4 linked regions of the Anolis sagrei genome follow. The protein of the gene in region 1 binds, or shares a complex with, the protein of each later gene. Links are inferred from orthologs where the notes say so. Each region holds a gene or a part of one and is shown in the gene's direction. Other genes may lie near its edges.

What was found.
Region 2: the proteins of RAB7A (region 1) and PDZD8 are in contact, whole or in part, in a crystal structure (PDB 7F6J), measured with the Homo sapiens proteins. The link is inferred for Anolis sagrei from reciprocal best matches to the Homo sapiens genes RAB7A and PDZD8. Residues at the interface, in NP_004628.4 of Homo sapiens: Lys10, Leu14, Asp16, Ser17, Lys38, Ile41, Gly42, Ala43, Asp44, Phe45, Gln60, Trp62, Gly66, Glu68, Arg69, Phe70, Gln71, Ser72, Leu73, Gly74, Val75, Ala76, Phe77, Tyr78, Arg79, Thr98, Ser101, Trp102, Glu105, Phe106; in NP_776152.1 of Homo sapiens: Ile999, Lys1000, Leu1001, Val1002, Arg1003, Lys1004, Glu1005, Gly1007, Leu1008, Asp1009, Asp1010, Phe1013, Ile1014, Lys1017, Gln1044, Leu1051, Asn1054, Asn1055, Val1058, Leu1077, Leu1084, Gln1085, Thr1088, Ile1092.
Region 3: the proteins of RAB7A (region 1) and RUBCN are in contact, whole or in part, in a crystal structure (PDB 6WCW), measured with the Homo sapiens proteins. The link is inferred for Anolis sagrei from reciprocal best matches to the Homo sapiens genes RAB7A and RUBCN. Residues at the interface, in NP_004628.4 of Homo sapiens: Ile41, Gly42, Ala43, Asp44, Trp62, Gln71, Ser72, Leu73, Gly74, Val75, Ala76, Phe77, Arg79, Ser101, Asp104, Glu105, Ile108, Gln109, Ser111; in NP_055502.1 of Homo sapiens: His818, Asn821, Met822, Lys824, Thr825, Arg827, Leu883, Gln885, Ala886, Lys887, Gly888, Phe889, Ile890, Glu892, Gln895, Glu897, Ile900, Pro903, Cys915, Lys916, Arg931, Arg934, Arg938.
Region 4: the proteins of RAB7A (region 1) and RILP are in contact, whole or in part, in a crystal structure (PDB 1YHN), measured with the Homo sapiens proteins. The link is inferred for Anolis sagrei from reciprocal best matches to the Homo sapiens genes RAB7A and RILP. Residues at the interface, in NP_004628.4 of Homo sapiens: Ser3, Lys6, Leu8, Ile41, Gly42, Ala43, Asp44, Phe45, Leu46, Thr47, Thr58, Trp62, Ser72, Leu73, Val75, Leu182, Tyr183, Asn184, Glu185; in NP_113618.2 of Homo sapiens: Phe248, Glu249, Leu252, Gln253, Arg255, Asn256, Lys259, Ala260, Phe263, Leu264, Glu267, Glu268, Tyr271, Arg274, Glu275.

What each region holds. Positions count from the first base shown.
Region 1 is NC_090022.1:56,363,428-56,370,546, forward strand, and holds the start of RAB7A (ras-related protein Rab-7a), read left to right. Parts: upstream 1-4,103; 5' UTR 4,104-4,291; intron 4,292-7,119.
Region 2 is NC_090023.1:204,010,288-204,017,853, forward strand, and holds the start of PDZD8 (PDZ domain-containing protein 8), read left to right. Parts: upstream 1-4,566; 5' UTR 4,567-4,903; coding exon 4,904-5,730; intron 5,731-7,566. UniProt on the Homo sapiens protein: Molecular tethering protein that connects endoplasmic reticulum and mitochondria membranes. PDZD8-dependent endoplasmic reticulum-mitochondria membrane tethering is essential for endoplasmic reticulum-mitochondria Ca(2+) transfer.
Region 3 is NC_090023.1:267,843,646-267,851,057, forward strand, and holds the start of RUBCN (run domain Beclin-1-interacting and cysteine-rich domain-containing protein), read left to right. Parts: upstream 1-4,394; 5' UTR 4,395-4,487; coding exon 4,488-4,498; intron 4,499-7,412.
Region 4 is NC_090031.1:35,512,619-35,519,966, forward strand, and holds the start of RILP (rab-interacting lysosomal protein), read left to right. Parts: upstream 1-4,348; 5' UTR 4,349-4,387; coding exon 4,388-4,606; intron 4,607-5,416; coding exon 5,417-5,522; intron 5,523-7,212; coding exon 7,213-7,334; intron 7,335-7,348. Other genes in the region: PRPF8 (pre-mRNA-processing-splicing factor 8), read left to right, coding at 1,144-1,284, 1,382-1,521, 2,433-2,635, 2,739-2,893. UniProt on the Homo sapiens protein: Rab effector playing a role in late endocytic transport to degradative compartments. Involved in the regulation of lysosomal morphology and distribution.

The sequences.
Region 1 (7,119 bases):
GTCTGACTGCAAAAGAAATCCTGGTGAAAACAAGGGGTTTATTTTACAGAGCATTCACTAGGTACAGTATTAGGCTCCGCACTGCTTAAGGGGGTTTATGGTCTACTAAATGAATTGAGGCTGAAATCAACACTGCATGTATCTGACCAAGTCAGTTCTAATTCCTGAAAGCATATGCTATAATAAATTTATTAATTGTATAGGTGTCATGGGGATCTCTCTTGGTTTTGCTGCAAGCAAGTACTAGTGCCCCTTGGAAACTTGTGACAGTGAGGATTCAGTAAAGTTCCCTGCAGGATCCATGGGAAAATCAATCAGCCTATCCATGATCTTACCTGGCTTATGATCTACTTATCATAATTACAGTGATAAAGAGAAGATTGGGGGGAATGGGACAACAAAGGGGGAATCTAGCAGCACCTTTTAAGACTGACTGGTTTATATTTTTCATGACATTTTATGAATATTAATCCATTTGTTCAGCTGCTATGACATAAGAGGCAGTTTGATACTTGAACTTCAATGGCTCAATGCTAGGGAATAATGGCAATTGTAGTTTTAGCCTTCCCTGTCACCAAATCCTAGGATTCCATAGCATTGGCCATGGCAGTAAATGTGTAGCCAATCTGCATTAATTTCACAGTGCAGATGCATCCCTAGTAATCTTAAAGCCTCAGGTTGTTAAGCATATTTACAGATCTGTGGGAGTGAGAGATAATGTAATAGATTTCTACTTTCCTGGTCAAACAGTATATGTGGAATACCCTTTCTTTGAAATGCTTGGGACTAGAAGCATTTTGGTTTTTGAATTATTTACTCAGATTTTGAATATAATATGCACAATGAGGTATCTTGAAGATAAGACCCAATTCTAAACAAATTCATTTACCTTTATATATAAATAGCCTGAAAATAATTGTATAGTCTTTCTTAAAATTTTGTGTATGAAACAAAGTTTGTATGCACTGAACCATCACAAAGCATAAGTGTTACTATCTCAACCATGATTTTGGAGGTTTCTGGAATTCTGGCTAAAGGATGCTCAGCCTGTATAGGATTTTCAAGGAGCAATTCTTGAAGAAAGAAATCACAACGGGTGACTGGTGAGAGCAATTGAATGTCATTCACAATCTGCAATCTATTAGCAGAGGTAGGAATAAAGAAAATAGTTTTATAACACAATACATGAATCCCCACAACTGGAAATATAACAAAGGAAATCTCCCAATTTCACAGATCAATGTTGTAAAGACCCAAAAGACCCAAATTTCCCCATGCAGTCTTTTGAAGATTTAGGACAGAGGGCCAGGATTTGCATCTTTCTGAAGGACGCAGATGTGGACAGATATTATTATTTACAAAAGGCTCATGTGTATATGTATGTGTGTTGTGTGTGTGTGCACGCGTGTGTGTGTGTGTGTGTGTGTGTGTGTGTGTGTGTGTGTGTATATATATATATATATATATATATATATAATTTGGACTGATGAAAGGTAGGCTGCTAGGGATGGTGTGACTGGGATTTTGGGTCAATGTGGAATGTTAATGTTTTAGAATATTTTACATATTTTTATTGGACCTATGTTTTATTAGTGTAATCATGTTTTATTTAAATATTTGTATTATTATTATTAGTAGTAATTCAATTATCTTTTTAGTTATAAGTTTATTGATGTTATTTGTATTAGGTTAATCTGTGTGTATTTGCTTTCCTATGGCATTGAATGTTTGCCTTTTTGTATGTAAACCGCCCTGAGTCCCCTTGGGGAGAGAGAGCAGTTTATAATTATAATTATAATTATTAATAGTTTGATGGCACAAAGAATTCAATTATTTCAATGTTGTTAATGGCACACAGTGGTTTTTTTTAAAGTACATTGATATTTTAATGTGTTTACATTGTTTGGTGCCTTTGGTAGTAATATTGAGAGAAAGACAAGACAAAAATAAAGTACAAAGTATAATGTATTAAACTGTTTGATATTTATACTGGTGGGTTTAGCGGCCATTAGTTGTTTTAACTATGCTTAACGATATTTATTGTTTTCTTTTTTATTTACAGGCTTTTGTTTGATATTATGTATATTTTTTGTGTTGTGAGCTGTCCCAACTTTCTTTGGGGAGAGGGGGTGGGAATACAAATAAAGTTTATTATTATAAACTATGTATGTATGTGTGTGTATAATAAATAACAAATAAAACTACTAGCCTGAACTGGGCTGCTAGATCCCTTCTTACAATGCCATAGGGTGCATCTACACTGTAGAGCTGTAGCTCTCCATCTTTGGAACTCACTACCAGGTGAGATTAGGCAAGCCCCCACTTTAGCAGCCTTCAAGAAAAACCTGAATTCGTGGCTCTTTTGATGTGCCTTTGGAGAGTGACCATTTATCCCATTTCTGTTTGCTTCATCTATAGTGTTGTCTCTATGACGCACTCCCCCCCCCCCCCCCGTCCTAAACTGAAAACTACCCTACTGTTTATCCTTTTTGGGCTCCCCTCAATTACATATTTTCTATTCCTATCCTATCCAGGGTTTTATCATTCTACCTCATCCATTTGGCCTGCCCATTCTTTTCGATTTTATATTATGTTAGTTTGCTTTATTTTATTTTGCTACTGTATGTATTTTATTCTGATGTATATTTTTGTTGTCTGCATTCTGTATTTTATTGAGCTGTATTGTATCTTTGGGCTTGGCCTCATGTTAGCCGCCCAAGTCCCCTTTGGGGAGATGGTGGCGGGGCATAAATAAAGCTTATTGTTATTATAGAGCAGCCATGGGCAAACTTAGCCCCTCCAGGTGTTTTGGATTCCAACTCCCACAATTCCTAACAGACTCGGGCCTTTTCCTTTTCCTTCTCAGCCGCTTAAGCAGTTGAAGCAATTCAAGAGAGATATTGACAAGCTGGAATGTGTCTAGAGGAGGGCGACTAAAATGATCAAGGGTCTGGAGAACAAGCCCTATGAGGAGTGGCTTAAGGAGCTGGGCATGTTTAGCCTGAAGAAGAGAAGGCTGAGAGGAGACATGATAGCCATGTATAAATATGTGAGAGGAAGCCACAGGGAGGAGAAAGAAAGCTTGTTTTCTACTTCCCTGGAGACTAGGACATGAAACAATGGCTTCAAACTACAAGAAAGGAGATTCCATCTGAACATGAGGAAGAACTTCCTGACTGTGAGAGCCTTTCAGCAGTGGAACTCTCTGCCTCAAAGTGTGGTGGAGGCTCCTTCTTTGGAAGCTTTTAAGCAGGGGCTGGATGGCCATCTGTCAGGGATGATTTGAATGCAATATTCCTGCTTCTTGGCAGGGGGTTGGACTGGATGGCCCATGAGGTCTCTTCCAACTCTTTGATTCTATGATTCTATGAAAAAGGAAGGGACCCGAGGCTGTTAGAAATCGTGGGAGTTGGAGTCCAAAATACCTGGTGGGCTCAAGTTTGCCCATGCCTGCAGTAGAGTTAGTATATTCAGTTCTTGTGGGTTTTTTCCGGGCTATATGGCCATGTTCTACAGGCATTTCTCCTGACGTTTCGCCTGCATCTATGGCACGCATCCTCAGAGGTGAGGTCTGCTGGAACTGGGAAAAAGGGGGTTTATATATCTGTGGGATGACCAGGGTGAGACAAAGGGCACCTAGCCCAACTCAGAGGAGGATGCGTGCCATAGATGCAGGCGAAACGTCAGGAGAAATGCCTCTAGAACATGGCCATATAGCCCGAAAAAACCCACAAGAACTGAGTGATTCCGGCCATGAAAGCCTTCGACAATACAGAGTTAGTACAGTTTGATGCCACTGTGACCGCCCTGGCTTAGTGCTGTGGAATCATGAGAGTTGTAGTTTTACACCGTCTTTAGTCTTCTTGGCCTCGCCAAACTCCCACTCCCAGGATTCCCCCGCATGGAGTCCTGGCAGCTCAAGCCATTCCTGAGGATGGACTAAGAGAGCGGCTTCTTTTGTCTTCACTGACAGAGGAGTCACGTGAGCGAGGCGGCACCATAGACAGAAGCGGGGGCAGAGCGGCCACCCTCTTGCGACAGAGGAACCCAAAGCCTTCCCGGCGTGGCCCCGCCCACTAGGCGCGTCGGCACGCCGGGCGGGTCTCGTGACCGGAAGAGGGCGAGCGAGAGACGGAAGTGAAAACGGGGAGGGTGTTTGGCCCCATTAAAGCGGACCTGAGCGGCGCAGGGAGGAGGAGGTTGTCACCGCTGCTGCTGCTGCTGTTGTTGAGTTACCACAGAAGTCGCCACCGAGGAGGAAGAGGAGGAGGATTCCGGGCCCCCTGAGACGGTGAGGGAAGGGCGGCGGAGGGAGGGAGCGAACGAGGGAGGGAGGCCTGGCGGGTGGGGCTAAGCGAGGCTTGGCGTCCCGGTGGGCCCGGCCTTGGGTGTGCGGCCCAGGCAGCGCCAGCGGGGCTTGTTTGGGAGACAGCAGGAGGAGGAGGAGGAGGGCGCGGCTCCCTCGGCGCTTCAGGCCGCCCTTCTGCCTCGGCTGCCAAGGAGGGAGGAGAGAGCGGCCCCGGGCCCCGCCCTGGCTCTCTCTCCGAGGCAGGAGTCGCTCTGGAAGTTCCTTGCCTCCTCACGGCAGCTCCGGAGGGAAAACGAAAGGGAGGCGGCCTTCCCGGAAGGGATTTTGGTGTGAGGAGCGAGCTTCTTCCTCTTTCTCCCCCGACACAAAGAGATGTGGGGTGGAGCCCCGTGCTCGTCCTGATACCTTTGAAGTCCACACAGCCATATCACCTAGAATATCAAGACGGATAAGCCACAATATGTGCTTTGGACCGGGTTATCTGAGTCCACACTGCCATATAATCCAGTTCAATGTGGATTTTATACAGCTGTGTAGAAGCGGCCTGAGTGTGACTTAGACCTTGGCCCTCCGAAACCGAAAGGCGAGAAAGCCCGGCCCGAGTAGGTTCCCTTCCCCCTTCTGGTCCCCTCCCGCCAGCCCTTCCCTGCAGGCAAAACAATAACGCTTCCTGTCGCTCCCGGTTGAAGAGTTCAAAGGTAAGGTAACACGCCTTTGTTTCTCATGCCCCATCTCTAGTAATCACTTAAATCCATTTCCAACCGGTGTTGAAGAAAGTGGTTTCGCTGTGCAGACGATTACAGAGGAAATCCAGGAGCCACTTCGAGGCCTGGATGGTGATTACACAGATCACTCAGCGTTAAGAGGTTTCTTTCGCACGCTTTTGTGGGGCTTTGTTGTTTGCTCTCCGCAGTTTGAAGCTAGTTTCCAACTTCATTAAATAGTCAAGAGTAGAAGGGGCCTTAGTCGTCTGCCTTGTTCATGCCAAAGTGCTTGACCTTGGTGTCATATTACTTCGGGAAGTTTGAAATTGAAACCATCTCCTGAGGATTACTTTCTTGTCCGCTCCCTGTGTAAATAATCACCTGAGGTAAATGTACTCTTTCCTGAATGGTATTTTTTTTGGTCGCTCGGTCTTATAAGCAAGCTTGTCCCATTGTATAGTAGGAAGACTTATGTGTAAGCCTACATTGATTATCAATATACATAAAAATGTAATGTTAGTTTGTGGGATTTACATAACTCAAAAACCACTGGACGAATGTACACCAAATTTGGACACAATACACGTATTAGTCCAATGAGTGACCATCACTCATAAAAATGTTGAAAAACACAGAAGAGACTTAAAAAGCACCCACCCACCCCCAATTACAATGCATGCACAAAACCACACATATACACAAATGCATACATATACACACAAAAAGCACTTATACACAGACTGGGCCACAGCAACACGTGGCAGGGGATGGCTAGTGATTCATATAAATGGTTAGGTAGTATGTTTGTGGACAATTCTGGAATGCCTCTGGTACGCACAAGGACAGCTAAGGGTAATAATATATTGCTAGAATCTACTCAGAATGCACAAATGGTAAACCATTGGGTCCTTCAACTTGATGCTATCTTACTGGTTAAACATGAGATCATTGATTAAATTAGGAAAAGCAAACAAAGCTTGATCTCTTCCAAGTATGTAACTTGTAAGTGTGCTGCCTTTCTGAGTATTCACTAGTATTGGTCAAGACTGCAAAAGAGTCCAAGAGTACTCCAAGTCTTGACTCATCAATGTCCTTGGACAGAACAGGATTTATCTTGGTAATAGTGTGTGCACGCATGTGCAACTGAGTAGGAGAAAGTTCTTATCAGACTAGCATTTTCTGTACCTTTTTGTAAAGATTTAAATATTTAAGCATGGCAAATGAATCCTGGAAGCATGCTGAATTCTAAGAATTTAGTGGAAATTACTGAAACTAAAATGAGTTGCCCTTCCAACTGATTTTGTAACAAATGACTGTCAAATGCCAGATAATAAAATGTAAGCCAGGTTTAAATTTGGCTTGCTTAAATTCACTTCAGTAGTCCAAGTATTCTTGTGTATGTGTTATATTTTAAATATTACATGTGTAATTTCACTGATCTTTGTAAACTTCACAGATTTTCAGAGTGTGCTTTTAATTTCGTTGCTCCGCTGCTGAGGAGTAAAACTTGATTAATGGTAGGAGGAGTTTAGATACTTTCCCTGTTCTTAGCCATGCCCTCTTAGTTGGGAAGAACAAGCATACTGTCTTCCCTTGTGATTGAAGCAGCTGATAAAGCACATGATTTAGTTCATGGATGGCTAACTACAGTTTGTCTAGGTAAAGAGATCACCAAAATGCCAACAAGTAGTTTTGAATAAAGCCAGCAATGCAGCCTGTCACTTTTACTTCAGAAATCATGGCAAATAGCATGTGGGAGCTCTATAGCAATCTAATTCCCTATTTATAACATTTCCACCCAAGGGTCTTAAACACAAACAAGAAAGGTCTCTAATATATATGTTGTTGAAAGCTTTCATGGCTGAAATCACTGGGTTGTTGTGAGTTTTTCAGGCTGTATGGTTCTAATTTGTGTTTGAATATATCGTCTCTAATACGTGTCTCTAATATATGTTTGATGGTACTCTACTTGCCCTTGAAATTCTAAGCATCAGAACAAAGAAGTCATTTAAATAGCGTATGCATTTTATATTGAGATCTAGTTTTATAACTTGATAGTTCTTGAAACAAGATGGAGCATAATCTAGAGAAATCATGAAGTACATC
Region 2 (7,566 bases), on another chromosome or scaffold:
CGGTAATGGAAAGTCCACAAGAAGGACAGAAGGGCATTAGTCCTGTACTGCTGATCTTTCCCGGCATCTGTTTCCTAGCAGAACACACATTGCCTCTTAGCAATTTCAAAAGGAGGTTTTTTTAATTTAAAAAAAATGCTTCCTTAAAAATAGAAACAAAATTCAATTGCAATATTCCTCAGGACTTTTACTGGCACTCCATGGTTAAATCATGAAGATTTTTCCTCTAATGAGTGCTTTGCCAGCTGTTGCAGGGAAGAATAATGAGTGCTGCCATAGTGGTGAACCCTTTCCCTCATGTTATTGTTGTCCACATAAAATTTGCTGGACATATAGAGTCAATTCTATGGTATTCACAAGCCAGGAAGTCAGTGAAATATGGAAACACATCCAAGGTTGTGGGACATCTAACACTTATTGATCACAGTGTCATTACACTGAAAATGTAATATTTGGCCTATTTCTGAGTATATTAGATCTACTGATTCCAAAAATGTCACCTTTCTTACTTCCTTTCTTATGTTTTCTACTGACATGCATAGAGGATTGTTGAAAACAGCACCGCTGTACAAAACAAATGTCAGCAATAGCGTGAACCCTTAAATAAAGCTGCATGTGTGGAATATTGTTGTATTTTCTGTGTTTTACGGACTGTATAGGCACATCTTGAAACAATTCATATGGCCATTCAGATTTTATTGGACTGTAACTTCCATAGTCCTTAACTTTTGGCTATGTCAAGGTTGATGGAAGTCCCCTTTCCCTCGTCTAAATTGTATTAATGTGAAATATATGTATCTTCTCCCTGAGTCAAAGCAAGATAAACTATTTAGAAGGTATAATACAACATAGCACTTGATGGATTTGATCCACCAATATCTCATATTTATCTAAAGTTGTAAAACATGCATTGCCATCTATTCTTCTCCTAATTTATTTTAGAAAGCTTCTTCCTTGTAATTCACTCCTTTATTGAGGCAACCGATCCATTCTAAGCCTAATGATGTATAACATCTAGACATCCATGTTTGTAATAACTATGAAAATAATTCCCCATATAATCGAAACAATTCTAAAACTGATAAAAATCACTCCGTGTTCTCTATTTGGGCAATTAAGGGCTGTACAAATATGCAGTTTTTTTCCTGTTCTGCTAACTGGCTGGAAAAACTTCCAAACTTCCCAGACTTTTTTTCCCCAGTCTTGTAAGATTACATTGGGATCAGGTCCCAATACTGCTTAACTCAATGCTTGGGCTGTTTGCATTTAATGCACTGGGGGTGTCTTGCTATTTTTCCAAGATTTCAGAAACATATTCGAATCTAGGTGGTTTCAAACTAGTTATAACTGAAAGTCAATAGTAGTAACATATCAATGTTTCAGAAAAAGTAAGATGGTGCAGAGTCTGGAAAACTAGTAATAAAGTACAGACAGTCCCCAAGTTTATTACTAGTTCTCCAGAGACACTCCAAGTGGCCAGCTTCTGGTCAAAGGAAATCAAGTATAATGGCAAGTTTGTGTTCTTTAAAATACATTATAACTGTACCCTCAATTCGCTTCTGACATGATAATTAAAAAATAGTCCCTGAAGTACAAACATCTGAGTTACAAATGACTCATAGTTAAGAACAGGACTGAGACAACAGGAAGAGAGAGAAATCTCCCCCTAGGAAGGGAAATCTACTCCTGAAATAGTTATCACGAGGAAAAGGTGCCTCCACTGAGGCTTTCTCAGCAATCCTAGTTTCCACAACAAGCCACATTTTACAAAATCCAGTTATCACAGGGACAGAAATCGAGGTGAAATATTCAGAATAGGGACACAAACAGCAAATGATGCACCATATGGGTGTTAACTCTTACCTGTGCAATCCAAAGATAACTATATCTATATATCTATATCTGGCTGGAGCAACACTTTAAAAATGTACCTGTTCTGACTTACATACAAATTCAACTTAAGAACAACCTACAGAGCCTATCTTGTTTGTAACTTAGGGACTGCCTGTACTCTTAATAGTCCGTTCCAATTGAATAGGCCAGTATATTCAACATTTTTTCAGCCTCAAAATAGTTTTCAGTAGCAGCTTGACAATTTTAGGATTGTAGTTCTAAAAAGCAGTTCAACAAACATTCACTTGAATCTAGAAATGCATCGCGGTCATCAAATTAATCCTTGCATATAAAGTATCCAGAACCCTGGTCTGTTGCACAGACATTATAGTTTTTCAGAAAAAACAAACAGTGGGTGTTTAAACACTTTTTTTTTGTATTGTCGAAGGCTTTCATGGCTGGAATCACTAGGTTCTTGTGGGTTTTTTTGGGCTATAGAGCCATGTTCTAGAGGCTCTATAGCCCGAAAAAACCCAAGCATGTGGACAATTTCAACAGAAAGGAAGAGACCATGAAAATGAACAAAATCTGGCTACCGGTATTAAAAAACTCTAAAATTACAACAGCAAAACTACAGAGAGGAAACAACCAGGCACAGATTAACACCTCCCAGCAAGAGATTTTCCCAGGCTCAGGCAGGCCTTCTAATGCTAATGAAGGTGATCAGCTGAAACATTCACACCTAACTGCAGCAGGGAAGGGCTCCTTGCCCCACCCCGGCCATTCCACAGATATATAGACCCATTGTCCTAATTCCAACGGACCTCACTGCCTCTGAGGATGCTTGCCATAGATGCAGGCGAAACGTCAGGAGAAATGCCTCTAGAACATGGCTCTATAGCCCGAAAAAACCCACAAGAACCTACATTTTTTTTAAAATAAAAAAATCAGTACTGGAGGAATGTACACATTTATTTTTTTAAAAAGACACCCGCACAAACCTCTGTCCAAACCTACATAAGAGAAATCTTGACAAAACCTCAAACTATTCTTGGAACCTAATCCAATACATTGTCCATAAGATTTTTTCCCCCCATGTCAGGAGTGACCAGTGGGAATCTTCCCGTCAACAAGGCGCAGAATCATAGCTATAAAGATGGGAAATAAGTTACATCCTTGTTTGATACCTGATCCCCCTTTAAATGGGTCACTTAGGGAGCCATTGCTGTCCAATTGCTCGCAGGATATTCACATTTTTATCAGGGCATCCAGTTTTTGGAAGATGGTCCAAAGAGCACTGTGATTCATTGTACTGAAGGCCTTTGCAAGGTCAATGAATGCCATGTACAGAGGTTGTTTTTGTTCCCAAAAATTTTCTAGAAATTGTTGCACAGTGAAAATTATATTCAGAGAGGATGTCTTTTGAAATAGGTATAATGTGAGCCCTTGGTATCTGCAGGAGTTTGGTTCCAAGACCTCACGTACTGTGCCCTGTAGATATTAAAATACATGGATTTGTATAAATCAAAATGGTGAAATCAAAGTTTGCCTTTTGGATTACATATATATGTATGTATTTAACCCATGCATTCAGAATCCGCGGATACAGAGCGCTAACTCTACACAATGCAGATCTGAGAAGGCAGATAGCAATCTGGAATATACTTTACGTCTGCATAAAACAGTAAATATGGCAATTCTTTTGTGGTGCTAGAGGAGGGAAATAAGACACAATCAATTTTCTAATAAAGTTACCCAACAGGTTCAAGAGTAGAGTAGAATATGCCGTAATTTGGCTGGTATAAAATAATAATTTCTTTCTATGCATTGTTTTCAGATTGCAATCCAATGACCACTTTCTTGAAAAGGAGATTTCTTAAAATCAGTGGGATTTAACTTCTGGACCAGAGCCCCCGATGGTGCAATGGGTTAAACCCTTGTGCTGGCAGGACTGAAGACCTACAGGTCATAGGTTAGAATCCGGGGAGAGCACGGATGAGCTCCCTCTGTCAGGTCCAACTCCCTATGCGGGGATATGAGAGAAGCCTCCCATAAGGATGGTAAAACATCAAAAGCATCTGGGCGTCCCCTGGGCAATGTCCTTGCAGATGGCCAATTCTCTCGCACCAGAAGCGACTTGCAGTTTCTCAAGTTGCTCCTGAGACCAAAAAAAAAGCATTGAATGCCCTTGTAGCTTCAAAGCCTGGCTGATTGCTGCCTGGGGAGATCCTTTGTTAGAAGGTGTTAGCTGGCCCTCATTGTTTCTTGTCTGGGATTCCTCTTTTTTGTGTGTTTTTTTTTTAGTATTGCTCTTTATTTATTGTCCTGTTTTAGAAGTTTTCTTTGAAAATAGATTTTGTTCATTTTCATAGTTTCTTCCTTTCTATTAAAATTGTCCACAGGCCTGTGGATATCAATTCCTACCGGCTGTTAGGAATTGTGGGAGTTGAAGTCCAAAACACCTGGAGGGCCGAAGTTTGCTCATGCCTGCTGTAGCAGGTGAAGGAACAAAAAGGGCAGCCGGGAGCGCACAGGCCAGGAGTGCGCATGCTCACATTCCACAATGTGTTTTTTCCCTCCCCGTCGTGACCCCTCCCACTCCTCCTCCTCCTCCCCCTCCTCTACCACCCCTCCCCCCCACCGCCGCGCGCGAGGCCCCTTCCTCTTTCCGCAGTATTATGAGCTCAGCGCGCGGCATGGCGTGCCCTATGACGTAACCCGCCGGGCTCCTCCAATCAGAGCACGAGGAGGGGGGGGGGAGAGAGAGGCAGTTGGTGCCTTCTGCTGGGGAAGCGCGCGGAGACAAGAGAGTCAGGGAAAAGACCCGGATGTGCCCCCTTGCTGTTGTTGCGTGAAGGAGCGGGTCGTGGCCGGCGCCTGAGGCCGCCCCGCCAGGCCGCAAGATGGAGGAGGCGGGGTTTGGGGCCGTGGCGCCGCCGGTAGTCGTGGCGCCGGCGCCGCCGTCTCCTCCTTCGTTGCCGGGCGCGGCGGCGGCGTGAGGCGTGAGGCGGAGGCGAGGGCCGCAGGCAGGGAGGCCTCTCGGAGAGGGAGGTGGGGCCTCGGCGGGGCCATGCTGTCGGTGTATGGGATCCTGTTCTCGGCCCTGCTGGGCTCCATCCTCACGCTCCTGGCCCAGGTGCTGCTCTTCTACCGGAGGCCCCCGGAAGCCCCCGAGGGCTCTATCTCGAGGCCGGGCCCCAGCGCCTTCTCGCCCCGCGTGGTGCCGGACACCAGCCTCAGGGAGTACCTAGCCGGCTTCATCAGCTTCTCCGCGGAGCCCAAGCCGGCCTCGCAACAGCCCTCGCTCCAGGAGTCGCTCTCCTCGGTGGAGTGCACCGAGGAGACCCTCTACTGGCTCAATACCATCAACCTCTTCCTCTTCAGGGAGCTCAAGGACACGTCCCTGCTCCGACACTGGGTCACCAGGAAGATCAAGGTGGAGTTCGAGGAGCTGCTCCAGACCAAGGTGACGGGCAAAGTCCTGGAGGGGCTGAGCCTGCGCGACGTCTCCTTAGGCAACGTGGTGCCCCTCCTCAAGAACATCAAGATCCTCCGGCCAGTGACCTGCAGCGAGGACGGCTGCCCCGAGGAGCTGGACTTCGAGCTGGACCTCGAGTACCAGGGGGGCTTCCACCTGGCCATCGACGCCGACCTGGTCTTCGGCAAGTCGGCCTACCTCTTCGCCAAGATCTCCAGGGTGGTGGGTCGCCTGAGGCTGGTCTTCACCCGCTTGCCCTTCACGCACTGGTCCTTCTGTTTCGTGGACGAACCGGTGATCGACCTGGAGGTCAAGTCGCAATTTGAAGGGAGGCCCTTGCCACAACTCACTTCCATCATAGTCAGTCAGTTCAAGAAAGTGATTAAGCGCAAGCATACTTTACCTCACTATAAAATCAGGTAAGATCTCGAGAGAGAGGATATTTATTTATTTATTTTTATTTACTTCCTTTCTACCCCACCTTTCTCGACCTGGGAAGGGACTCAAGGTGGCTTACAAATCCGGCAAAAATTCAATGCCACACAGGTAAACAACAACAACAACAACAATAATAATAATAATAATAAACTTTATGTATACTCTGCTACCATCTCCCCAAAGGACTCAGTGCAGCTTACATGAGGCTAAGCCCACAATACATCAATAAACAAAAGCAATAACAACAATCAATACAATACAATTAATATAAAAATCACATAAACACAAAATAAACAATCAACAGTGACACACGAGCATTTAAAAACCAATGGCCGGGCCAAATGTAATAGATTAAAATTTAAATTAAACACATCTCATAAAAATATAAACAATCTAAGCATATAAGCAATTAAAACACAGAACAATCTACATTTGGTGGGCGAGGAAGCAGAAGGAAAGCAAGGAAGTATGGGGGGGGGGGGTTCAGAGGTGCACAGACCACATTTTCTGAAGTTGTCAGTGATTGTGGCTTGCATCCACATTCACAAAACTATGACTCTACAGCAGTGGTTCCCAAACTTTTTTTGACCAGGGACTACCCTGACCAGGGACCACTCCCCATACCAAAAGGGTTATGAATCAGTTTTTGGTCAACTTCAGAAAATTGCATTGGATAGACCACATCAGCTCTAGTTGCTAATACAGAACATATGCCGTCCAGTAGTCGCCATCTTCTCGCCCACAGAAAGCCATATTTAATAAGCCTCAGTATTATAAGAAGGTTTTGCAAGACCAGTCACTCTCATTGCAATGGTGTAGTGATGGTGAGGCCGCAGTCCAAATTTTATTTATTGCAGGCCATTGATGGTCCACAGACCACAGGTTGGGAACCACTATAATACAATGTATTTTAGAAGCCAGCCATCTAGTATGAGGAGGAAGTATTCGGGGGTGTTTCAAAAGTGCATAGACCACATTTTCTGAAGGTAATAATAATAATAAACCTTTATTTATACCTCGCTACCATCTCCTGAAGGACTCAGTGTGGCTCAGTGAGCATGGCTTGTATCCACATTCACAAAACTATACAGCATATCTTAGTAGTCAGCCATCTGGTTACATCACTGAGAAAGTATGAGGGGGTGTTTCAAAGATGCACAGACCACACTTTCTGAAGGTGTCTGTGGGCGTGGCTTGCATACACATTCATGAAGCTATAATTCTATGACGTATTTTAGTAGCCAGCCATCTAGTTGCATCACTGAGCCATACACCTCATATTAGACCAGGGATGAAAACTATGTGGCACTATCCAACACAGCCAACAGTAAAGAATGCTGGGATTGGGAGTCCCAACAGTGTTTGGGAACTCCATGATTGCCATGTCTGGACTGGCTGAGTATTCCTTATCTGAAATTCTTGAGCCCAGAAGTGTTTTGAATTTTAAATTATTTTGGATTTTTGTTTATATGTACAGGTCTAAACACAAAATTCATTTATATTTTGTATACACATAGCCTGATGGTAGTTTTATTAACTTTTTAATACATTATTTTTGGCTTGAAATAAAGTTTTAGAACATTGAACCATCAGAAAACAAAGTTGTCCCAATATCAGCCACTCATGTGGATAGTATAGGATTTTGTAATTTAGGATGATGAGGGGTTCTAAAATTGTACTAGACGTTTGAAGAGAGTTCCAACTAGTAGGTCACTGCTTATCTTGCAGCATCTGATTTCTCGATCTCTTTTGCTAAACATAGGCCAAACATGTATCTTGTTTATCAGGAAGGCAAATTTCAGTACATTGTTAAAAAT
Region 3 (7,412 bases), on another chromosome or scaffold:
CATCATGGACTCGAGAGGGGCCAGGTTATTGTCATGCAATCAGTCTTTGTTTAAAACCTTAAGTCAATAGGAATTTTCCTTGCGAAATGGACTACCCAAGGCTGATGTCATGCTGGAGGTCATGAAAAGGTGGCTTCCCATATTTCATATACAGGCACATACACAGGGGTCAGGGGAGATACATAAGGAATATTAACGCTTAAGGGAATTTCATATACACCGATCCCACCCACCAGAGTCCAGATTAATAAGTTCATTAGCACAAAACCATGCCATCCCTCAATCATGAAAAAGGAGCTCATAGGGCTTGGGGAAAAGTTCCATAAAGTTTTCAAAAGATCTTTAAAGTTTGGGAAAGTTGTTCAAAGTTGTAGAAATCCAGAAAAGGCAAGTGGGAAAAGGTGTCCCAGTGTCCACAGAGTCCTTATGGCCATCCATCAACGCTGAAGATCGAGATCCATGGCGAGAACTACAGATCCCTCCACACCAAGGACCAAGGCGGTCCGCCGACATCTTAGGGATCCCATGGGTTGACCACGACAGTTTCCCAGGAGCAGCAGGCTCCTTGGACATCCACAAAATGGTGGCAGGGAGGCAACATCTTTGGAAAAACAGCTGGACTCCAGGTTGGGGTTTCAGAGGCAAAAAAGGTTATTCCTGGGGCGGAAAGGGCAGTGGAGCGAAACCGAGATAGCCATTAGACTTAGAATTCTCCCAGGAGAAGATTGGCACAATTTCCGGAGTGATCCATTGACTCGTGGATACGGGCACCCGAGGGGTTTCCGTATCCGTGGTTTAAGGGAATGCAGTTTAGGCCTCCCCGGGATGCGAAAATCGCATCCCAGGAGGGCCGACCGCCATCTGCAGCCTGGGAGAAGAAAGGTCTATCAAGAGAAAAGTGTGAGGTAGTAAAGGGACACAAAGTAACACTATGAAGAGGAGATAAGTTACAATTAACTAATACTTTTTATTGGGGGATTAGTTACAATGTTAGGAAGGTGAAAAGGCAAAGAAATAAAGAGGCTCCTGAGTTGCAGCTGCTGCTGTGGCCACGTCCATGCGGTTGGCCCAAGCGGGGCAATGGAGAACTGGGGAACTCCCTGCTGCAGGTCAGATCAGCTTGAAGGCAGGGAGTTCCGTGTTCAGCCTCACTAAGAGGAGGAAAGGGTTGGTTGACTTCCCATCTTCTGCTTTGTGGGATCTATTTTCTACTCTTCTGTCGTCTTTTGTGTTTCATCCCATTCTTCTTCGTAAGCTAAGAGATATTTACCCTTCTCCTAATAAGATTATATTAATATTTCCATTTTATCTTGTTCCATAAACTTAATAAATTCCAATCTGTTGTTAAATATCTAAGTTGTTGTGTTAGGCTACCCATACTTCTGACTTCCAGCATCTTTATTAACCATTCTTTTAGATTCGGGGTTTCTTTCCCCCTCCAATATCGGGTGTGCACTATTCTAGCCGCGGTTATGATGTAATTAAATTTTATTTATTTATTTTTATTTATTTGTCGTGTCAGGACAACCAGTCAAATTATATCACATTTCTAACAGAACAAAGCAAACAAACAGACAAAATACAAAATTTGTGAGTTTGGTAGTTGATTAGATGTACTTTGACCAGTATCTGGCCACTTGGAGTGCTTCTGGTGTTACCGCAAGAACACCATTGTGCATGTGGCAGGGCTCAGGTTGCATTGCAGCAGGTGGTCAGTGGTTTGCTCTTCTCCACACTCACATGTCATGGATTCAACTTTGTGGCCCATTTCTTGATGTTGGCTCTGCATCTCGTGGTGCCAGAGTGCAGTCTGTTCAGCGCCTTTCAAGTCGCCCAGTCTTCTGTGTGCCCAGGGGGGAGTCTCTCATTTGGTATCAGCCATTGGTTGAGGTTCTGGGTTTGAGCCTGCCACTTTTGGACTCTCGCTTGCTGGGGTGTTCCAGCGAGTGTCTCTGTAGATCTAAGAAAACTATGTCTTGATTTAAGTCGTTGACGTGCTGGCTGATACCCAAACAAGGGATGAGCTGGAGATGTCTCAGCCTTGGTCCTTTCACTATTGGCTGCCACTTCCCGGTGGATGTCAGGTGGTGCAATACCAGCTAAGCAGTGTAATTTCTCCAGCGGTGTGGGGCGCAGACACCCTGTTGACGTGCTGGCTGATACCCATGTAATTAAATATTATATCCTTATTTCTATCTAAATTAAAGTCTATAATTCCCTATAGGAAATACTCTGGTTTTAACTGAAAATGTATTGTAATCGAAATTACAATGGAACAATGGCTTCAAACTACAAGAGAGGAGATTCCATCTGAACATGAGGAAGAACTTCCTGACTGTGAGAGCCGTTCAGCAGTGGAACTCTCTGCCCCGGAGTGTGGTGGAGGCTCCTTCTTTGGAAGCTTTTAAACAGAGGCTGGATGGCCATCTGTCAGGGGTGCTTTGAATGCAATATTCCTGCTTCTTGGCAGAATGGAGTTGGACTGGATGGCCCATGAGGTCTCTTCCAACTCTTTGATTCTATGATTCTATACACAATAGTAGGGCAACTTTGATCCTCTTATCATAGCTGCCACTTTTGGACTCTCGCTTGCTGAGGTGTTCCAGCGAGTGTCTCTGTAGATCTTAGAAAACTGTTTCTAGATTTAAGTCGTTGACGTGCTGGCTGATACCCATGTAATTAAATATTATATCCTTATTTCTATCTAAATTAAAGTCTATAATTCCCTATAGGAAATACTCTGGTTTTAACAGAACATGTATTGTAATTGTAATTTTATTATTATTATTATATATTATTCAATAGAAATAAAATATGTTTTAATATAAAGGTAATTGAGTCATACGTGTGATCAAGATATAAAGAAGGCGATTAAACTAAAATGGAATAGCTTTAGAATAACTTGACTGTCATGCTGTTTAATATCTACATGAAGCCGCTGGGTGAGATCATCCGGAGTTTCGGGGTGCGGTGTCATTTGTACGCAGATGATGTCCAACTCTGTCACTCCTTTCCACCTGTCACTAAGGAGGCTGTCGAGGTCCTGAACCGGTGCTTGGCCGCTGTGACGGTCTGGATGAGGGCGAACAAATTGAAATTGAATCCAGGCAAGACAGAGGTACTCCTGGTCAGTCGTAAGGCCGAACAGGGCATAGGGTTACAGCCTGTGTTGGATGGGGCCGCACTCCCCCTGAAGACGCAGGTTCGCAGCTTGGGAGTGATCCTGGACTCATCCGCTGAGCCTGGAAACCCAGGTCTTGGTGGTGGTCAGGGGAGCTTTTGCACAATTAAAACTTGTGCGCCAGCTGCGCCCATACCTTGGGAAGTCTGACTTGGCCACGGTGGTCCACGCTTTGGTTACATCCCGTTTAGACTACTGCAACGCTCTCTACGTGGGGTTACCTCTGAAGACTGCTTGGAAGCCTCAACTAGTCCAACGCTCGGCAGCCATGATTTTAACAGGAGCGGAGAGCAGGGAGCATACAACCCCCCTGTTGTGCCAACTCCACTGGCTACCGGACTGAATTCAAAGTGCTGGCGTTGGCCTTTAAAGCCCTAAACAGTTCCGGCCCAAGCTACCTATCTGACCGCATCTCTGCCTATGAACCCACCAGGACTTTGAGATCTTCCGGGGAGGCCCTGCTCTCGATCCCGCCTGCTTCTCAAGCTCGGCTGGCGGGGACGAGAGATAGGGCCTTCTCGGTGGTGGCTCCTTGGCTGTGGAACGCCCTTCCTACGGACATTAGACTAGCACCATCTCTAATGGTATTCCGCAAAAAAGTGAAGACCTGGCTGTTTGAGCAGGCGTTCGAATAATTAGTGCAATGATTGGTTAATGAACACTGGAATGGAACAATGGATGACGAATCTGGAACATGTTTTTGATGAATGGGTATTGTAGTAACTGTTTATTAATTGTGTTAGGTTGTTAACTGTTTCTATACTGCAGCACTGAATTTTTGCTGTTCGTATTTGTTGTGAACCGCTGTGAGTCGCCTTCGGGCTGAGAACAGCGGTATATAAGTAAGGTAAATAAATACAGGGTTAGTCAAAATGAATAGGCCAATTCGGGTACAATTAATTTTCTTATTGTCCTATTCATTTTGACTAACCCTGTACATAAATAAAGGAGGGAGGAGAGCGCCTTCATGTGCGCATGCGTGGAGCGCCTAGAGTCAGAGTTGAAGTTCCGACCTAAAGCATGTGGGCGTGTGATTGAAAAAAAAGACGGAACTTTCGTTTGCGCATGCGTTGCGATTGAGAATCCCGGTTGGTAGTGGCGCATGCGCGTTTGGGAGGGATAGGGACGTTCTGTGGGAGGGAGGGAGGGAGGGAGGAGCGCGCCTTCGCGTGCGCATGCGTGGAGCGCGCGCAGTCAGAGTTCCGGAGTTGGCCGGCAGGGCGGGGCGCATGCGCACTGAGGGGGATGTAGTTGTGGAGAAGGAGGCGGTGGCTCCTGAGGGCGCTTTGGGCCTCCTCCGCCTGGGATGGAAGCCGGGTGAGAAGGAGGAGGGGGATTATTATCTGTTTATATGAATATTATAGATTTATATTGTGAATTATCGAGGAGGGGGCAACTTAGGGAACTCAGGAATTACTATTATAGTGTTTGTGTATATATATGTGTGTGTGTGTGTGTGTATATATGTGTGTGTGTGTTTATATTCTGAGGGAAGAATTATTATTATTACATTTATTATATTTATATTCTAAGGGAATGAGATCAAAGAAGTAGCAACTTAAGGGACTGAGGAATTATTATATATATATATATATTATAGAATATATATTGATATTATATATTATTTTCTGTAGGAATGGAATTGAGGAGGCAGTAACTTAGGGGACTGGGAAATTATTACAATATTAGGTTCTTGTAGGTTTTTTCGGGCTATATGGCCATGTTCTAGAGGCATTCTCTCCTGACATTTCGCCTGCATCTATGGCAAGCATCCTCAGAGGTAGTGAGGTCTGTTGGAATTAGGACAATGGGTTTATATATCTGTGGAATGACTGGGGTGGGGCAAAGAGCTCTTCTCTGCTGAAGCTAGGTGTGAATGTTTCAGCTGACCACCTTCATTAGCATTTGAAGGCCTGGCTGAGCCTGGGAAAATGTTCTGTTGAGAGGTGTTAAGATGTGCCTGGTTGTATCCAGGCCAATGGAGACTCCACCTCAGACATCAGAAGAGCTGCAAGACCAAGAACAAGCCACAAGAGTCAAGACGAAGATCCACCCAGAGGAAAAGGGTTCCTGCCATACATCAAGGGAACCACTGACCGCATAGGGAAGCTGATGAGGAAACACAACATACAGACTATCTACAGACCCATCAAGAAAATCCAACCAATGCTCCGTTCAGCAAAGGACAAGAGGGATCCTCTCACCTCTGCAGGAGTCTACCGTGTACCATGCAGCTGTGGACAAGTCTACATAGGGACCACCAAATGCAGCATTGCCCAAACACAAATCAAGGAACATGAAAGGCACTGCAGACTACTTCAACCAGAGAAGTCAGCCAGAGCAGAGCACCTGATGAACCAACCTGGACACAGCATATTATTTGAGAACATGCTGGACCACTCCAACAACCACCATGTCGGACTACACAGAGAAGCCATTGAAATCCACAAGCATGTGGACAATTTCAACAGAAAGGAAGAAACCATGAAAATGAACAAAATCTGGCTACCAGTATTAAAAAACTCTATAATTACAACAGCAAAACAGCAGAGAGGAAATAACTAGGCACATCTTAACACCTCTCAACAAAAGATTTTCCAAGGCTCAGCCAGGCCTTCAAATGCTAATCAAGGTGGTCAGTTGAAACATTCACACCTAGCTCCAGCAGACAAGAGTCCTTTGTCTCACCCTGGTCATTCCACAGATATATAAACCCTTTTTCCTAGTTCCAACAGACTTCACTACCTCTGAGGATGCTTGCCATAGATGCAGGCGAAACGTCAGGAGACAATGCCTCTAGAACATGGCCATATAGCCCGAAAAAACCTACAAGAACCTAGTGATTCCAGCCATGAAAGTCTTCGACAATACATATTACAATATTATTATTATTATTATATATTATATGTTTATATTACAGTATGTGATGGAGGAAGGGGTAACACGGAACTGAGGAATTATTGTTACTATACTGTATTATATTTATATTAATATTATATTTATAAATATATTTATATATTTATTTATATTTATACTATATTATATTTATATATATTTGAGTCGCCGTATGGCTGAGAAACGCGAGCTATAAATATCATAAACTAGCTTTCCCTTGCCACACGTTGCTGTGGCCCAGTCTGTTGATCTGGAAAATAAAGTAATGAGAAAGTGCTGGTTTCTAATATATGTAATGTCTTGATGCTTGTGGGTAAACAGTATTTCTACCTATCTACCTACCTATCTATCTATCTATATCGATGGCTGGATGGCTCTTTGTCAGGAGGGCTTTGATTAGATTTTCTTGCCCTGGTTAAGGGAGTTGGACTGGATGGCCATAAGTATTTTCTGTTGGTCATGGGGGTTCTGTGTGGGAAATTTGCCCCAATTCTGTTGTTTGTGGGGTTCGGAATGCTCTTTGATTGTAGGTGAACTATAAATCCGAGTAACTACAACTCCCTAATGTCAAGGTCTATTTCCCCCAAACTCAATCTGTGTTCTTATTTGGGCATATTCATGCCAAGTTTGGTCCAGATCCATCCTTGTTTTGAGTCCACAGTGCTCTCTGGATGTAGGTGAACTACAATTCCCTAACTCAAGGTCAATGCCCACCAACCCCTTCTAGTGTTTTCTGTTGGTCATGGGAGTCCTGTGTATCACCTTTGGTTCAATTCCATCATTGGTGGAGTTCAGAATGCTCTTTGATTGTAGGTGAACTCTAAATCCCAACATCTACAACTCCAAATGACAAAATCAATTTGTTTTGAGTGAAGGAGCTGGTAAACTGGCTGGGATTTCTGGGAGTTGTAGGCCAAAAACATCTGGGGACCCCAGGTTGAGAACCACTGCTCTAGAACATGGCCATATAGCCTAAAAAAATCCATAACAACCCAGCCAGTAGGCTGTTTAGAATTATGGTAGTTGAAGTCCAAAACATCCGAATGGCCCAAGTTTGCCCATGCCGGGTTTAGATGGTTCAGAGCAAACGGTCAGTCCCAAAAGATGTGCAAGTTAGTGACCAAAATGTGGCAGCTGAGCTCTTAATGAGAAAGAATTATAGGACAGCAGGAACATTTATTTATTTATTTATTTATTTACTTTACTTGTATACCGCTCTTCTCAGCCATCAGGCGACTCAGAGCGGTTAACAACCAGAATCAGCAACACAGTACAAAATCATTAGTCAATTAACATCAAAAACATCAATGCTACAATACAGCAAAACAACAATCCA
Region 4 (7,348 bases), on another chromosome or scaffold:
TAGAGGAATTATTATTATTATTATTATTATTATTATTAGATGATGATGATGATGATGATTATTATTATTATTGTATTTGTACTATATATATTCTTCTTATTATATTGCTATATTGTATTTTATGATTATTATATTATATATTATGATGATGTTTACATGTTCATAACAACACAGTACAACATGCACACTAAGTCCAAGTGTCTGGGCTTCGTCTCTGAATATCGGGCTCCTCCCAAGGGTCTGGGGTATTAGAGTATTATTTATTATTATAATAGTGTTATTATATTTATTGTAATTAGATATTATTATTTTATTTATTATATATTATTATTATTATATTTACATGTACATAACACAGCACACATGCACATTAGGGCCTATGATATTAGAGATATTATTACATAATAATCTAATAATTAGATAGGTCCAAGTGTCTGGGCTTCATCTCTGCATACCAGGCTCTTCCCAAGGGCTTAGGATAGTAGAGGTATTATTAGATTATTATTATTATTGACACAAAAGTACAGTATGTCACAGCAAACGAGGTCTATATGCTGGATTTCGTATCATTATTATTATAATATTTGTATTATATATTATTATATTTCTATAATAATATATTATTATTAATATAATAATAATAAGAGTCAGAAACGACTGAACGAATGAACAACAACATATTGCTATATTTTATTACATATAATTGTGATGTTTACATGTTCATAACAAGTTCATCTCTAAATACCAGGCTCTTCCCAAGGGTCTGGGGTATTAGAAGTATTATTTGATTATTATAATAGTTAGTGTTATTATATTTATTATAATTATATATTATTATTTTATTTATTATATATTATTATTAAATTTACATGTACATGCTCATTAGGTCCAAGTGTCTGGGGTTCCTCTCTAAATATCGGTCTCTTCCCAAGAGCCTGGGATATTAGATGTATTTTTGCAGATTGATGTTCTGTCCAAATTAAGGCTTTTTGAGGTTTCTTGGAATTATTATTATTATTATTATTATTATTATTGCTGCTGCTGCTGCTGCTGCCAAGCTTTGCTTAGTAGGGAGAGGGCAGGCTTTTGGGGCGTCTCGTCCCTCGCCTTGATGTAGGCCCACTTCCTCCTTTCTCCCCCCAGATCGCCGGCTACTTGTATGGGGTGAGCCCGCCAGACAACCCTCAGGTGAAGGAGATCCGCTGCATCGTGATGGTGCCGCAGTGGGGGACCCACCAGACGGTCCACTTGCCAGGGCAGCTGCCCCAACATGAGTACCTCAAGGTGGGGATCGTGGGCCAAAGCCGGGGGGGGGGGGGGGGTTCCTGCCATTCTAAAGGCTTGGCCGTCATCCCTCTTGACCTTGAACCTCTCTGTGCAGGAAATGGAGCCCCTGGGCTGGATCCACACTCAGCCCAACGAGTCCCCGCAGCTCTCCCCGCAGGACGTCACCACCCACGCCAAGGTCATGGCTGAGAACCCCTCCTGGGACGGGGAGAAGACCATCATCATCACCTGCAGGTCAGGGACACGTCCGGGGGGGGGGGGGTTAAATCTTTTATCTTCTATCTTTCCATCCATTCATCCATCCACATAATAAAAGTGAAAATCTGTCTGTTGTGTGTATGTGGCTGGTGTGCCCACTTACACAGACAAGCTCCTCCCTACAGCTCCAACTCCCACCAACCCTTTCCTATTCTTTTCTATGGCCACTGGTGGGAGTTGTAGTTCACCCTGCATCCAGAGAGCATAGTGAACCCCACCAATGGCGGATCTGGACCAAACTTGCCACACAGATCCAACACTTTCAAATCACCCAAGCCAGAAATTTCCATAACAGGAAAAATTATTTTAAAATATTAATTGACAACAACAGTTTTCTGTAATGTTTGTTATAAGTTGTTTACAACAAAGTAAAAAAAAAGTTGTAATTTTGCATTCGACAATTTAAACATTCTTGCCGCTAACATAGCTTGTTTATGTGTGTGTGTGTGTATATATGTGCGTGCTCAATGAGGACTACCACCTTGTTGCCAGGATTGGGGATGAGTTCCAACAGGATGTGTGGGGTGAAGGGCTTGCTGGCGGGTTTAAAATATTTTTAAAATATTAGTCAGCAACAATAGCAGTAGTTTTTAAATATTTTGTAATTTTTTATAAGTTGTTTACAACAAAGACTTTGTAATTTTGCATTCGACAATTTAAACATTCTTGCCGCTAACATCGTTGTGTGTGTGCATGTGTGTGTTTATATATGTATATATGCTGAATGAGGACTACCACCTTGTGCCAGGATTGGGGGTGAGTTCCAACAGGATATGTATGATGGAACTGGACAATGTTTTTTTTTAAATGAGGATTTATTGGCTTGTGTTTTATTACTGTTATGATTTTAACTGACCCCCTTGCCTCTTTGTTTCCCTTTTGCGCAGCTTCACGCCCGGCTCCTGCACCCTGACGGCCTACAAGCTGACGCCCAGCGGCTACGAATGGGGCCGGCAGAACACGGACAAGGGCAACAACCCCAAGGGCTACCTGCCCTCCCATTACGAGCGGGTCCAGATGCTGCTCTCGGACCGCTTCCTGGGCTTCTTCATGGTCCCGGCCCAGGGCTCCTGGAACTACAACTTCATGGGTGAGATTGAGAGAGAGAGAGACCCTTCCTTGGGACCCACAAGGAGCCTTTCTCCCTCTTGTCTTCTCACAACACCCTCTTGTTTGACCCCCTTTTTTCCCAGGCGTGCGCCACGACCCCAACATGAAGTACGAGCTGCAGTTGGCCAACCCCAAGGAGTTCTACCACGAGGTCCACCGCCCCTCGCACTTCCTCAACTTCGCCCTCCTCCAGGAAGGGGAGGTCTACTCCGCCGACCGCGAGGATCTCTACTCCTGAGGCTGACCCACAACAACAACAACAACAAGGAGCACCCCCTTTGTTTCTCCTTTCCTTCAAGAAGAGTTACTCCTCAGCATTTCACCCCCTTAGTTCCTCTTTCCACACAGTATGGCTGTGGAGGGATTGCGCGTTGTCATGTACAGTGTCTCTGCCCCTTTCCCAGTGTTGTCGAAATAAAGGTTTTGTACAAAGTTGGTGGCGTTGTACCCTCTCCTTCTTGTCCCTCCTGCTCATATTTTTATTTATTTCTCATATTTATTTGTCATATTTATTTATTTCTCATATTTATTTATTTATCAATTTTATTTCTCATATTTATTTTTCATTTTTATTTATATATATCATATTTGTCATACTGATTTATATTTTTTTATAATATATTTATTTATTATTTTTATTTATTTGCCATATTTATTTATTTACCATGTTTATTTAGTTATTTGTCATATTTATTTATCATATTTATTTATTGTATTTTTATTTATAATATATTTATCATTTTTATTTATTTATTTACCATAATTATCTATTTATTTACTTACCATATTTATTTAGTTATTTGCCATATTTATTTATTTATCATATTTATTGTATTTTTATTTATTTATAATTTATCATTTTTATTTATTTATCATATATATCTATTTCTCGTATTTTTATTTATAATATATTTATCATATTTATATTTATTTATTTATTATTTTTATTTATTTGCCATATTTATTTATCATATTTATTTATCTATATTTATTTATCAATTTTATTTATTGTATTTTTATTTATAATATATTTATCATTTTTATTTATTTATTTACCATAATTATTTATTTATATTTATTTACTTACCATATTTATTTAGTTATTTGCCATATTTATTTATTTATCATATTTATTGTATTATTTATTTATAATTTATCACTTTTATTTCTTTACCATATTTATATTTATTTATTTCCTGTATTTATTTTTATTTATTTATAATATCATATTTATATTTATCACTTTTATTTTTATTTATTTATTTATCTATTTATATTTATTTATTTATCAATTTTATTTATTGTATTTTTATTTGTTTATATTTATCTATTTTTATTTATTTATTTCTCGTTTTTATTTATTTTTATTTATTTATGTCATATATTTACCATATTTATTTATTTATCATATGTATTTCTCATTTTTATTTTTAATATATTTATCATTTTTATTTATTAACCATCTTTATTTACTTATATTTATTTATCTATTTATTTATATTTATTTCTCATTTTTATTTAGTTATTTATTTCTCATATTTCTCAGCTTAAAGGGCTGAGTGGGAAAAGGAAAGGGCCTGAGGCCAGGAATTCTGGGAGTTGTAGTCCAAAACACCAGGAAGTAGGCCCAGGCCTGTCTTAGTTGTCTTGGTTTGTTTTGCTCTGGGAGGGGGCGTGGCCTGCTTGAGCCCCGCCCCCTTAGTGTCCCGAGGCGCTCCGGCCAGTGTCCCGGATGGAGTCCCCTCGGCCGAGCGCGCCTCCGCCTTCCTCCCGGTCCGCGGACCCTGTCTACCGCCTGGCGGGCTCCTTGGGCTCAGAGCTGCAGCGCCTCTCCGCCCTGGTGGGCCCGGACGCCGTGGCCGGATTGGTCACCCAAGTGGTCCGCCTCCTCGAACTACTCGAGGCCTGGGCGCGGGAAAAGCCAGGCCTCAGGGCCGCCCTCGCGGAACAGGTGGGCTCTTCTGTCCCTCCCGGGGCCCCGTACCTCCTCGGCTTGTGATTGGCTGGGGACCCCTTTGGACTTTCCTGATTGGCTGGGGACCCCTGTCGGCAGGATAAAGGAATAGAACCCTTTATGTCCCCTCGCGCCCTCCGTATCTCCTTTCAGTTTCTATCCCGGACAACTTAGAAGCGGGACACTTTTCTCATTCGCTGGGGACCCCTGTCGGTACAATAAAGGAATGCAACACTTATGTCTCCTCGAGCCCTCCGTATCTCTTCAATTTCTCTCCCGGACGCTTTTTGATTGGTGGAGGATCTCTAGGTAGAAAAGGGACGCTTTTTGATTGGCTGGGGTCCGCTTTGATTAGAAAAGGGACGCTTTTTGATTGGTTGAGGATCTCTAGGTAGAAAAGGGATGCTTTTTGATTGGCGGAGGTCCTCTTTAATTAGAAAGCGGCGCTTTTTGATTGGCTGGAGATCTCTGGGTAGAAAAGGGACGCTTTTTGATTGGCTGGAGATCTCTAGGTAGAAAAGGGACGCTTTTTGATTGGCTGGAGATCTCTGGGTAGAAAAGGGATGCTTTTTGATTGGCTGGGGACCTGTTTGGGTAGAATAAAGCAACAGACCGCTTAGCAGGTGAGTTTAAATGTCCCCTGGGGCCCTCCGTATCTGTTTAGTTTCTTCTCCGGAGGTTTCTGATTGGCTGAGGTCCCCTTGGGGTCGAAGAGGGACGTTTCCCATTGGCTGAAGGGCGGGGGCTTTGTGGGGAGAGCCTTTTTTGTCCCCTGCGGCGCCCCGTCACCCGCCTTTCTCCCCTCAGCAGTGCCAGGCGGAGGAGGAGAAAGAGGAGGAGGAGGAGGGCCCTTGCCCGGAGGAGAACACGCAGCTCCAGGCCCAGCAGTGCCGGGACCGCCCCCCAGGCGGAGGTAAGCACCACAAGAAACCCTGGTTGGCCTGAGTGGGAGTCTCTTTGGCCTCCTAAACAAGGATCCCCCCCCCCCAGGCAGGAAGCAGCCAGGCTTTGAAGATGCAAGGCCACTCAGTGCTGATCAAGGTGGCCAATGACAACATTCACACTTGCCTCCAACAGGCAAGAGGTCTTTCTCCCATCTCCCAACAAAGGATTCCCCCTCAGGCAGGAAGCAGCCTGGCTTTGAAGATGCAAGGCTGCTTAATGCTAATCTGGAACCCCCTCCCCAAAGATCTTAGACAGGCCCCTACCCTGGCAGTCTTCAGAAAGAACTTGAAGACCTGGCTGTTCCGATGTGCCTTCCCAGAATAGGAAATCTCCAACACCAAGTCCCAGAAGCACTTTAGTAGAACTAAGATTGCTGCACACTGCACGTTGCACTTGCCCTATAATGCCTTACATACCTCCCGTCACATCAGCACTTTTAACCTTGTACCCATTACTCTGGCCCGGCCCAGTTTTATTGTGTCCTGTTGTATTGTTTATTGCTTGTTGTTTAATATTGCTTTAACTGTTTTTAATTTGCTTTAGGTTTGTATTGTTTATTTATTTACTTACTTACTTTATTTGTATACCGCTCTTCTCAGCCCTGAGGCAACTCAGAGCGGTTTACAATTATTTAGGTATACACAATACAAAATCATTAAGCATTTAAAAGCAATAGCATCACAAGTCATTAAACATCAATATCAATACATCACTACATCAATATAACAAATCTATCAGGTCTCATCAATGAAATCAGAATCCAAACTATGTTTGTTATGTTGTGTTTTGAGGCCTTGAGTGGCAGGCTCAAACCCAGAACCTCAATCCATGGGTGATACCCGACGAGAGACTCCCCCCTGGGCACACAGAAGACTGGGCAACTTGGAAAGCACTGAACAGACTTTGCTCTGGCACCACGAGATGCAGAGCCAACCTCAAGACATGGGGCCACAAAGTGGAATCCTCGACATGCGAGTGCGGAGAGGAGCAAACCACTGACCACCTGCTGCAATGCACCCTGAGCCCTGCCACATGATGCACCAGGGAGGACCTTCTTGCGGAAACACCAGAAGCAACACCAGAAGCCTTTTCTGTGGTGGCCCCCTGGCTGTGGAACGCCCTTCCTATGGAAGTAAGATCAGCCCCCTCGCTGATGGTGTTTCGAAGAAGACTAAAAACTTGGATGTTTGAACGGGCATTCGGTTAAACAGTGCAATCAATGTGAATGACTACAGGAACTGGAAAATCGGACGACGAATTGGATCATGATTTTAGTTATGAGTTGTATTGGGTTAACTATTGTTGTGCTAATATTGTGTATTATGCTTTTGTTGATCTTAAATTGTATATTGTGGTTGATTTTATTCTTGTTGTAAACCGCGTTGAGTCGCCGGCCAGGCTGAGAAACTGCGGTATACAAGTAAAGTAATAAATAAATAAATAAGCACTCCAAGGGGCCAGAGACTGGTCAAAGGACATCTAATCCACTACCAAGTTTGCAAAAATTGTGCTTTTTTAATCTGTGTGTTTGTTTTGTTCTATTAGAAATGTAATGGAATGTTCTGGTTGCGGATGACACGATAAATAAATCCTTGGTGTTATGGGGTGACTGACCTCTTCTCTCTCTCTCTTTTTCTCCTTCCTCTGCCCATGTGCAGAGAGCGCCCTGCGGAAGGAGCGGGAGGTGATGCTGCGGCTGAAGGAGGTGGTGGACCGCCAGCGGGACGAGATCCGGGCCCAGGCCCACGAGATCCACTGCAAAGCCAGGGACACTGAGGCGGTAAGGAGAAACAA